Linked DNA regions of Drosophila melanogaster. The protein of the gene in region 1 purifies or fractionates together with the protein of each later gene. This does not show direct contact. Each region holds a gene or a part of one and is shown on either strand. Other genes may lie near its edges.

What was found. Proteins that work in one complex are often made in the same cells at the same time.
Region 2: the proteins of l(1)G0020 (region 1) and Noc3 purify together in Drosophila melanogaster (affinity purification with mass spectrometry, with the first as the bait; one large-scale study listed by BioGRID). This does not show direct contact.

What each region holds. Positions count from the first base shown.
Region 1 is NC_004354.4:8,717,805-8,722,523, reverse strand, and holds the start of l(1)G0020 (lethal (1) G0020), read left to right. Parts: upstream 1-2,246; 5' UTR 2,247-2,358; coding exon 2,359-2,561; intron 2,562-2,620; coding exon 2,621-3,068; intron 3,069-3,128; coding exon 3,129-4,407; intron 4,408-4,467; coding exon 4,468-4,719. Other genes in the region: CG1789 (uncharacterized protein), read right to left, coding at 1,081-1,290, 1,415-1,918. UniProt on the Drosophila melanogaster protein: RNA cytidine acetyltransferase with specificity toward both 18S rRNA and tRNAs. Catalyzes the formation of N(4)-acetylcytidine (ac4C) in 18S rRNA. Required for early nucleolar cleavages of precursor rRNA at sites A0, A1 and A2 during 18S rRNA synthesis.
Region 2 is NT_033777.3:7,244,270-7,248,988, reverse strand, and holds the start of Noc3 (nucleolar complex protein 3), read left to right. Parts: upstream 1-2,019; 5' UTR 2,020-2,105; coding exon 2,106-2,114; intron 2,115-2,166; coding exon 2,167-3,779; intron 3,780-3,837; coding exon 3,838-4,461; intron 4,462-4,517; coding exon 4,518-4,719. Other genes in the region: CG1227 (uncharacterized protein), read left to right, coding at 1-339, 398-532, 588-704; CG10053 (uncharacterized protein), read right to left, coding at 870-1,623, 1,693-1,739.

The DNA.
Region 1 (4,719 bases):
CATTCATTCATACCCAATACCATTTTGCCCGAACCCCTCGCAGTTTGGCAGTTAAGTTTCAAATTACAAACCCAATTGATGCTAGTTAAAAAATCTGTGCAGGTTTTGCGTTACCATTCGGACTCATCCTCAACTTCATCCCCGATGAGCCCGGTTTGTTGTGATGCACTCGTGACAAGTCCGATTAGGTTAGCCGTACACCGCGGATCCGATCCGATCCCATCCATCCCATCCCATTCCCATTCAAGTCCCTTCCATCCCCTTAACGCCGGTCTCTAGCCATCTATTGTTGTGGAAAGTGTCAACATAGCGATCTATTTTATGCATAATTTGGCGTGCCAAAATGCGCGACTCATCAAAATGGTGTCATATGTTTTTAATCGGGGAAAACAAGGACCAGCAGGCAAACAAAAAAGAAAAAAAAAAAAGAGATACGGGGAGTGTTTGCCCGGTTGTCTGTCGCCTGCGGTTTTCAATTCGAAAAGTTGCAGCCGGTTGCTTATTTTTACAAAAGACAAACATAAAAAAGTTACATTGAATATTGAAAACTTATGTTGCATACACTAACTTGCAAGAGCACATATAAAATATTAGTCTTGAAATGTTCCTCGGAGATAAGAAGAATGAATTTAAAAAATAAGCTGACTTTTTAAATAAAACATTACAAATGTTTAAATTCAGTTTGAAGTTGGGGTCATGACTTGGCTAAGCGTACCTAACTTAACGAAACTCGCACTAAATTTGGTTTGTGCCCTGGAAAGATCTAAATTTCGTTAAATATTTAACGAATCTGAAAAAAGCGTTTAGTCGAGTTACATACCCATTCGCTTTTACTTTTTCTTGTTTTTTTTCGGTATATATTATTCTATTCGGTATATATAAATATTCTGATCAGAACATTCGAATTAATGACCCAAAACTAGGATGCCATATCTCATTTAACTTGTTACTTGCATTTGAATTGCATTCAAAATTGGGAATTATATATGTAATTCCTTAATCCAAAACAATAAAAATCATAGTTTTGTCAAAAGTCTTCAACTAACACTTAATTGCTTTATTAACTAGAGGGGAAATATTCTATTTCTTGCGTTCGTAGCGGAATTTGTAGACGGGCGCACTGTCCTTGGTTCCCGGCTTTATTTTCCTCGGCTTCAGTAGGCGTGGCTGCTTGAGGGTGTTCTTCAGCTGAATCTTCTGCTGGACGATGCCGAGTTCCCTTTCACGCTGCTCGCGTTTCTTCAGCTCGTTGATGCGCTGCTGTTTGATGGGGTTTGGTTCAGTTGTTTTCTACAAAAAATTTAAAGGCAATCGTTACACACAAGTAGAATCATAAATCATAAGTATAATATCAATTATAAATTAGTTTCTCACAAAAGCTTACAACCTCGTTGGTTTTAAAGAGGTGACCTACCGATTTCTTCTTCTTTTCCTCCTCTTCCTCCTCGTCATCATGCTTTAAAAGCCATTCGCCCATGTCCAACTCCATGTATCCGTCTTCGTCAAATTTGATACGTTTGTTGGCTGCTCCCTTAATGGCATCCACGTCCACCAGCGAGGCCTTCAAGCGTTCGATCTTCTTGCGCTCCATGGTGCGCTTCATCACCACGTACTTGAGGTCCTGCGTCTGCATGAGGGCCAATTGCTCGGGCGTGTGCTCGTCCTTCGTGTCCTTCTCGTGGTGCTCATCGTTGGACAGCTTGGAGTTGATCATATGGTGGTAGAACTCATCGGGATTCTTGTTCTGCGCCCGGCGGTACAATAGCTTCAAGGTCTTTTGCTTTTTCTGTGCGTCGATGGCTCGCTTCTTGTAGTCCTTTTTCTTCTCCAGGAATCCCAGATGCTGGCGCGACTCCGGCTGGTGGCGCTCCCTGTGCACCTTCTGGTTGCTTTTCGACGCATTCTTCCACGATGACATCTTCAATTTATGCTAATCCTCGACAGCAATCAAATATGTTCTGTTTTGATAAACGTGCGCTTGGGGAATTAGAGATGCACAACTACTCGATAAATGTATCGCATTGACTCAAAACATCGAATGTGGTGTTAATCGGGAATTTTTAAAAAAATCTCATTGGTAGAAATTCAAGCTGCCTTCTTGAAGACATCAATACAAATCCCACCCGAATTCTACGATTTAAGACTTCGTGTAAACAACATTCATGTGCATTTCACAATGGTAATATGATTGACGATTTCCGTGACATTGTAAAGTAGATAGTTGAGTCGCGACTATCGACAAAGCGCCCATCTCTAAACCGCACACGTGCATTTTGAACGGGCAACAATTTCATTTGCATTATTTACTTCGGAAAACCGGAGTTTTTAAGTGAAAAGTGAACGCAGGAAAGCCGAAGCATGGTGAAGAAGAAAATAGACAACCGGATACGCGTGATGATCGAGAATGGGGTCAAGCTGGGCCACCGAACCATGTTCATCGTCATCGGGGACAAGGCGCGCGACCAGGTTCCCATTCTTTACGACATCCTGACCAAGTCGACGGTCAAGGCGCGACCCACGGTCCTGTGGTGCTACAAGAACAAGGATGAGGCCATCTCCAAGTGAGTATCCAACTGTAGAACTATTACACAGAAACTCAGCTAACTAGATACATTTTTAGTCATGGCAAAAAGCGAGCAAAGAAGATTGCTGTGGGCAAAGTGGATGTCAATGAGGCGGACCTGTTCGATTCCTTTCGAGTGGCCACCACCATTCACGGCAGATACTACTCCGAGACGCACGCAGTCCTCGGACGAACCTACGGCGTGTGTGTGCTCCAGGACTTCGAGGCCCTGACCCCCAATCTTTTGGCTCGAACTGTGGAAACGGTTGAGGGCGGCGGTCTGATCATCCTGCTGCTGAAGACACTGCAGTCGCTGAAACAGTTGTACACCATGAGCATGGATGTGCACAAGCGATTCCGCACAGAAGCCCATCAGACGGTGACCTGTCGATTCAATGAGCGACTCATTCTCTCCCTGGCGGACTGCAAGCGCTGTCTGGTGGTCAACGATGACCTCACCGTGCTGCCACTTAGCTCCAAGACCATCAACGTGGAGCCAGTGAATGTAAGCTGATGCTTGTAAATCTTCTAAAGCAGCTAATACCATTTGTTTCTAAACTTTCAGCCCGCAGGCGCCGGTCGATCGCCCAACGAGGCTAGCCTCAAGGAGCTGAAGGAGAGCCTGCTCACAGTTCAACCAGCAGGAGCTCTGGTTAATCTCTGCAAGACCTACGATCAGGCCAATGCCGTTGCCCAGTTCATTGAGGCGCTGGTCGACAAGCAACTGAAGCCGCCCATGTCCTTAACAGCGGCTCGTGGTCGTGGTAAATCGGCCGCCCTGGGTCTGTCGATTGCCGCCGCCGTCGCCTTTGGCTATGTGAACATCTACGTTACCTCACCGCATCCGGAGAACTTAATCACGCTCTTTGAATTTGTGCTCAAGGGCTTCGATGCCTTGGAGTACCAGGAGCATGCTGACTACACCATTATACGCTCCACCAATGCCGACTACAAAAAGGCGATAATAAGAATAAATATTACGAGAAGCAGCAGGCAGACCATTCAGTACATAGCTCCCAGCGATACTCATCTGCTGAACGCAGCCGATCTTCTGCTGATCGATGAGGCGGCTGCCATTCCTTTGCCGCTGGTAAAGAAGATGATCGGTCCGTATTTGGTATTCATGGCCAGTACGATAAATGGATACGAGGGCACTGGCAGATCGCTGAGCTTGAAGCTCATTTCCCAGCTGCAAAAGGATAACAATGCAAGGCCGCCACTGAAACTGGAGGAATCGATTCGGTATCAGGAGAACGACGACATAGAAAAGTGGCTGATCAACCTGCTGTGCTTGGATGCCAGTACGGTGCCGAGTATTAGCTCGGGCTGTCCCACGCCGGATGCTTGTGAACTGTACTATGTGGACAGGGACGCCCTGTTTTCGTATCACAAGGCTGCCGAGGCCTTTCTCCATCGCCTGGTCTCCATTTATGTGTCCTCGCACTACAAGAACACACCAAACGATTTGCAGATGATGAGCGATGCCCCGGCGCATCATCTATTCTGTCTACTGGGTCCGGTTCAGCGAATGGACGCCCTGCCAGAGATATTGGTGGTTATCCAAGTGGCACTGGAGGGTCAGATCTCCGCCCAGAGCATCAGCGATTCCCTGGGCAGGGGCAAGAAGGCGGCGGGCGATCTGATTCCCTGGAACGTAGCCGAGCAGTATGGCGATCGAGATTTTCCCAAGCTGTGTGGCGTTCGCATTGTGAGGGTAGCCACGCATCCGAATTACCAGAGGATGGGCTATGGCAAGCGGGCCATTCAGCTGCTCAAGGACTACTATGCAAGGAAGCACACTAATCTGGAGGACGGTCCAGTTGCCAGCAAGGATGCTGGTAAAGGTGAGTGCACGCACGCCAATGGTTTATTATGCACTACATAATACTTTAAATTTTGCATAGGTATCGAGGAAGTGGAGGAGGAGGAACTTAGTCTGCTGAAGGAACAAATCCGGCCACGTAGTCGTATACCCACACTTCTGCAGCGCTTGCACGAACGTGTCCCGGAACACGTGGACTATATTGGCACATCCTATGGCCTCACCACCGAGCTGCTGAAGTTCTGGAAGAACGCCGGCTTTGTGCCCGTCTATTTGAGCCAGAAATCTAACGAACTGACCGCCGAGCATAGCTGCATTATGCTGCACACGCCCA
Region 2 (4,719 bases), on another chromosome or scaffold:
CTTCAGCTGCGATCGCGGAAACAGGACCACATGCCCGAGGCCCAGATCCTGCAAATCTTTCTGGGCGTCTGCGAGGGATTGAAGGCCATCCACGAGGCAATGCCGGTGCCTCTGGCCCACCGAGATCTAAAAACGGCCAACATCTGCCTGTCGGACTCTTTTGAGCCAATTATTGTGGATCTCGGGTCAATGACAGAAGCCCGACTGCAGATTGTGGGCCAGACGGATGCTCAGCGCTTGCAGGACGAAGCCGAGGAGAGGAGCTCCATTGTCTACCGGGCTCCAGAGTTATTTACCGTGAAAACATATTGCACAATTGACGAGCGCACTGACATATGGGTAAAGCAGATCCAAGAGAGCGTTATTGAAGTTCTTCCTTAACATTTCCCTCTTTCAGAGTCTTGGCTGTGTGCTCTATGCAATGTGCTACTTTAATTCACCCTACGATCCCATCTACGAGCGAGGTGACAGCGTGGCTTTGGCTGTGCTCAGTGGGAACATAAACATTCCAGAGGATTCAATTTACACAGAGGTAATAAACCTTTTTTTTATATTGTAAAGGAAACTAATTCCAAATATTTGTCTAGGACATGCACGAATTAATTAAGTACATGCTGCGAACAGATCCAATGGAACGGCCATTCGTGTTTAGTGTTATCGAAAGGACCCACGATCTGATACAGAAACTGGAGGGTCGCTTGTAGCTCCCACTAACTGGATTACAACTCATTTATAGACATTCCTCCAAACCAGATACACCGCTTACTGTTTTTTGACTACTTATTGTAAAATATTTTAAACCTGCTGATTTTATGAAATTATGTGTAAGCAATCAAGCTAGTTTTTTTATTTTATTTTATTGATTGGAGCTAGTGTTCGTCACGAGTGAGTCCTGGACAGTTGGAGCCCAGATCTTCGGCGTCATCGTAATGGGTCCCACACCAATAGCAGAAGCAATAGGCTGTGCGCAGGTAGCCAGTGAGGAGTTCTAATTGCTCCGAGGGACTGTATGGTTCTTGCTTAGGTGGCACCTCGACTTCAGGATCGTCGGCGTCGCTCTGTGATTCATCTTCATCTTTTGGTTTAGGTGGCCAAAAGAAATCGAGATCTGGTTCTGTGATAGCGGACTTAAGATCCAACGATTCGCAGGTCTGCTGGCACCGTTTTATGTCATACTGTAATTTTCGCTCCTCCGCTTTATGGGTCGCGCGCCTCCTATAAGCCTCTGTACTGACTTCCTCGTCGCTTTTAATGCCGGCCTTGTTTAGGAGATGTGCCCTCCGCAACTTCTGCCGCTTGAGGGCCAACTCTGCAACGGCTGCCTCGCGCCCAAGTCCTCCACGACCGCTCTTTATAGTTATCCCCACGGGTTCAGTACGAGCATCCGAAGTTATGCCCAACCCAGAACCGGCTTTGTAGCCCATCTTGGCCAGTAGCTGGAATCCTTTGTTGTCGGCGGAAATTGGTTTGTTGAGGGACTGTTGAAGGCGAACATTGTCTACGTTCCCGGAAGAAGCTGCTGTCTCCCGTTGGCGCTTCTTCAGCTCATCTTTCTTGGACTCGACTTCAATCTGCCGCTTTCTGCCGCGATTGTGCACCAAACTCGGTCGGACATCTTGCAGACTAATGAGGGAAGGATGAGAGTTTTTCATAAGGTGGTTGGTTGTTAGTTAGGTGTGAGTGTAATCTCACCCAACCAGGAATTTGTCGGACATATAATCCTCCTCCTCGTCAGACATCTGTTTGTTTTGTTTACACTTCTCACTTAAGTGTGACCATTGCATAGTTATCTACAGCATTATTTCGATAATTTATAATAACAATGATATCTCTGCTATGAAGATTGAGTTCCGAAAATTGTATTTTATAGTATTGGTTCTGTTTAGTGATAAAAAAAACAGCCAGTTTGTGTCATTTACTTATTTCTTCAAAAACAAAGTATTTTAAGTAAGCGCATGTAAGATACTAAACAAAATACTATCCGCTTCTGAGCAGCTGTTGCGCTCCGCTGACGAGTGGACAGTTCCGTTGGCGTTCCATGTGCTCGTCCCATTCAGAAGGCAACATTTGTGAAAATTAACTATTAGTTGACTAAAACGGGTGCAATGGGAACTGTAAGTGGAAAGTAAAATTATTTAATGCTTATTCTAATCCAAATCATTGTAGAAAAAGGTCAAAATCAGCTCGGTCAAGCGGGCTGCTCACCTGAAGTCGAAAAAAACACCGCTTTCTAAGCAGCAGCAACAAAAACAGAAGCAAAAGCGCGACCAACTGAAATCGAAGCGCGAACAGGGTCAGAATATATTCTCCCAAAAGGCGAGAAAGCGGGACAACTTAGCACAGCGTAAAAAGCACAACAAATTGGCCTCCCTGGGCTTGGATCCGCTCGAGGAAGACAACGAGGATGGCGACGATGAGATGCTTGAAAACGTTGCGGACATGCTGGATGGCGATGATCTTGCCCTGCTCCAGGCTAACAAACGCAAGCGAAAGGCCAAGACGACCGGCGAGAATGATCCTGACCAAGGACAATCCATCGGCTTGGAAAGGGCCTATGCCTCTGACACGAAAAAAGAGCAGGACGCGCAAAAAATAAAGTTGGATTTGCTGCCAATCAAGTCCAGGGATGGTCAGATTATCACCCGTACGACAGAGGTGGATTACATACCTAAGCCCAAGCAGAAAAAGAAGAATGAAGAAGAAGAGGAGGATGATTCCGAGGAAGACGGTGATACGGAGTATGAGGACAGCGATGACGATGTGGTCAATGATGTCGAGGCCGCCACCGCCGCTCCCGTCCAAAAACTTATCTCTACCACGGATCTACTTATTGCCCGGCAGCAGGAGATCGAACGCCAGAAGTATCGCATTGGAATCATTTGTTCCGGGCTGCTCGAAAAGCCAGAGGATAAGATGCGCAACTTTCATGCTCTGTACGAACTCATGGACGAAATCAACCCAGCCAGTCGACAGGCCAACCTAATGGCCGTCAGAAAGCTGGCCATAATCTCTGTCACCGAGATATTCAAAGATATCTTGCCCGAGTATCGAGTGGGTCAGGTCGACACCAAGATGCAGACGCTTCGCAAGGCCACTCTTGATCGTGTAACCTTTGAAAACGCCTTGCTTCAACAGTTTAAAAAGTTCCTGCAGAAACTGGAACAGATCACAGCGCAAGTTAACAGGAGAGGTGGTCTAAGGACGCCTCAGACTGTGAAGTTGGCCACCGTGGCAGTACAGTGCATGTGTGACTTGCTTGTGGCACATCCATACTTTAACTACGTTCAAAACATTGCCCAGCTTCTGGTGTATATGCTGAATTGCAATTATGCAGAGATGCGAACGGCGGTCCATCAGTGCTTCCGCACAGTCTTTTCCAACGACAAACGGTTAGAAATGACTCTTTTTATAGTGCGACGCATCAATCACTTGATCAAAACGAAGCAGAACAATGTTCATGTGGAGTGCATCACCTGTCTGATGGGCCTTAAAATCAAGAACGTAAACCTAGATGCCGAAAAGGAGAATGAGCTAAAGCAAAAGAAGCTTGAGTCGCATCGTCAACGCTTACTAAGCTTGTCCAAGAAAGAGCGCAAAAGACGTAAGAAGCTCACCGAGGTTAACAGAGAACTAGAGGAAACCCGTGCCGAGGAAAACAAGCAAGCAAAGCATCAGAAGCTCACCGAGATCATAAAGATGGTGTTTACCATTTACTTCCGCGTGCTTAAGAACGATCCCACCTCCCGCGTGCTGAGCGCTATTCTAGAAGGATTGGCAGAGTGAGTGGTTATTGTAAATCTCTTTCCTGGAATTTTAAATATAGAGGATGATTTTTAGGTTTGCGCACGTCATTAATTTGGACTTCTTCTCCGATCTAATCGATGTGCTCAACCGCATTCTAGAGGACCAAGACGAGCTGGGCTACCGGGAGCGATTGCACTGTGTTCAGACCATATTCGTTATCCTTTCCGGCCAGGGTGAGGTGCTAAACATCGACCCCATCCGATTCTACCAGCACTTTTACCGAAATATGCTGGCGGTGCAGGCAGGCAAAAATCACGATGACTTCGCCATTATTTTGCGAACTTTGGATGAGGTGCTCGTAAAGCGTCGTCGCAATATGAGCCAGCAGCGTCTAATGGCCTTCATGAAACGCTTGCTTACTGGAAGTCTGCATCTGCTCCATAATGGCACCCTGGCCACGCTTGGCACAATAAAACAAACCTTCCAGCTCACTTCTGTGCTTGACAACCTATTGGATACAGACACTACGATAGGCTCTGGTCGTTACGATCCCGAACTGGACGATCCTGAGTACTGTAACGCAGCAAGCACAGCGCTGTATGAGCTTGCGCTTCTGGCACGTCACTATCATCCCACGGTGCGACGGATGGCCGTTCACATTGCTCATGGAGTGCCAGCAACGGGCGAGGGAGCTTTGCCCACGGAAATTGGCAAACTGTATGTAATAAGACGGCAACTACATATGTGACTCTAACAATTATTACTTTCCTTAGTACCTCCCACGAGCTGTTTACGCAATTCGACAGCACTCAGATGGCTTTCAATCCGACAATACCGCTGCCAAAAGCGGGTCAACCAAAACTAAAAAGGGGCAAACACTTATATATTCGCTCGGACTTCAAACAGGAGTACGGAAAACTGCTGCAGCAAGGAAAAGTTTCACAGACGAAGGATAAACAAACCTTACAAATTGAT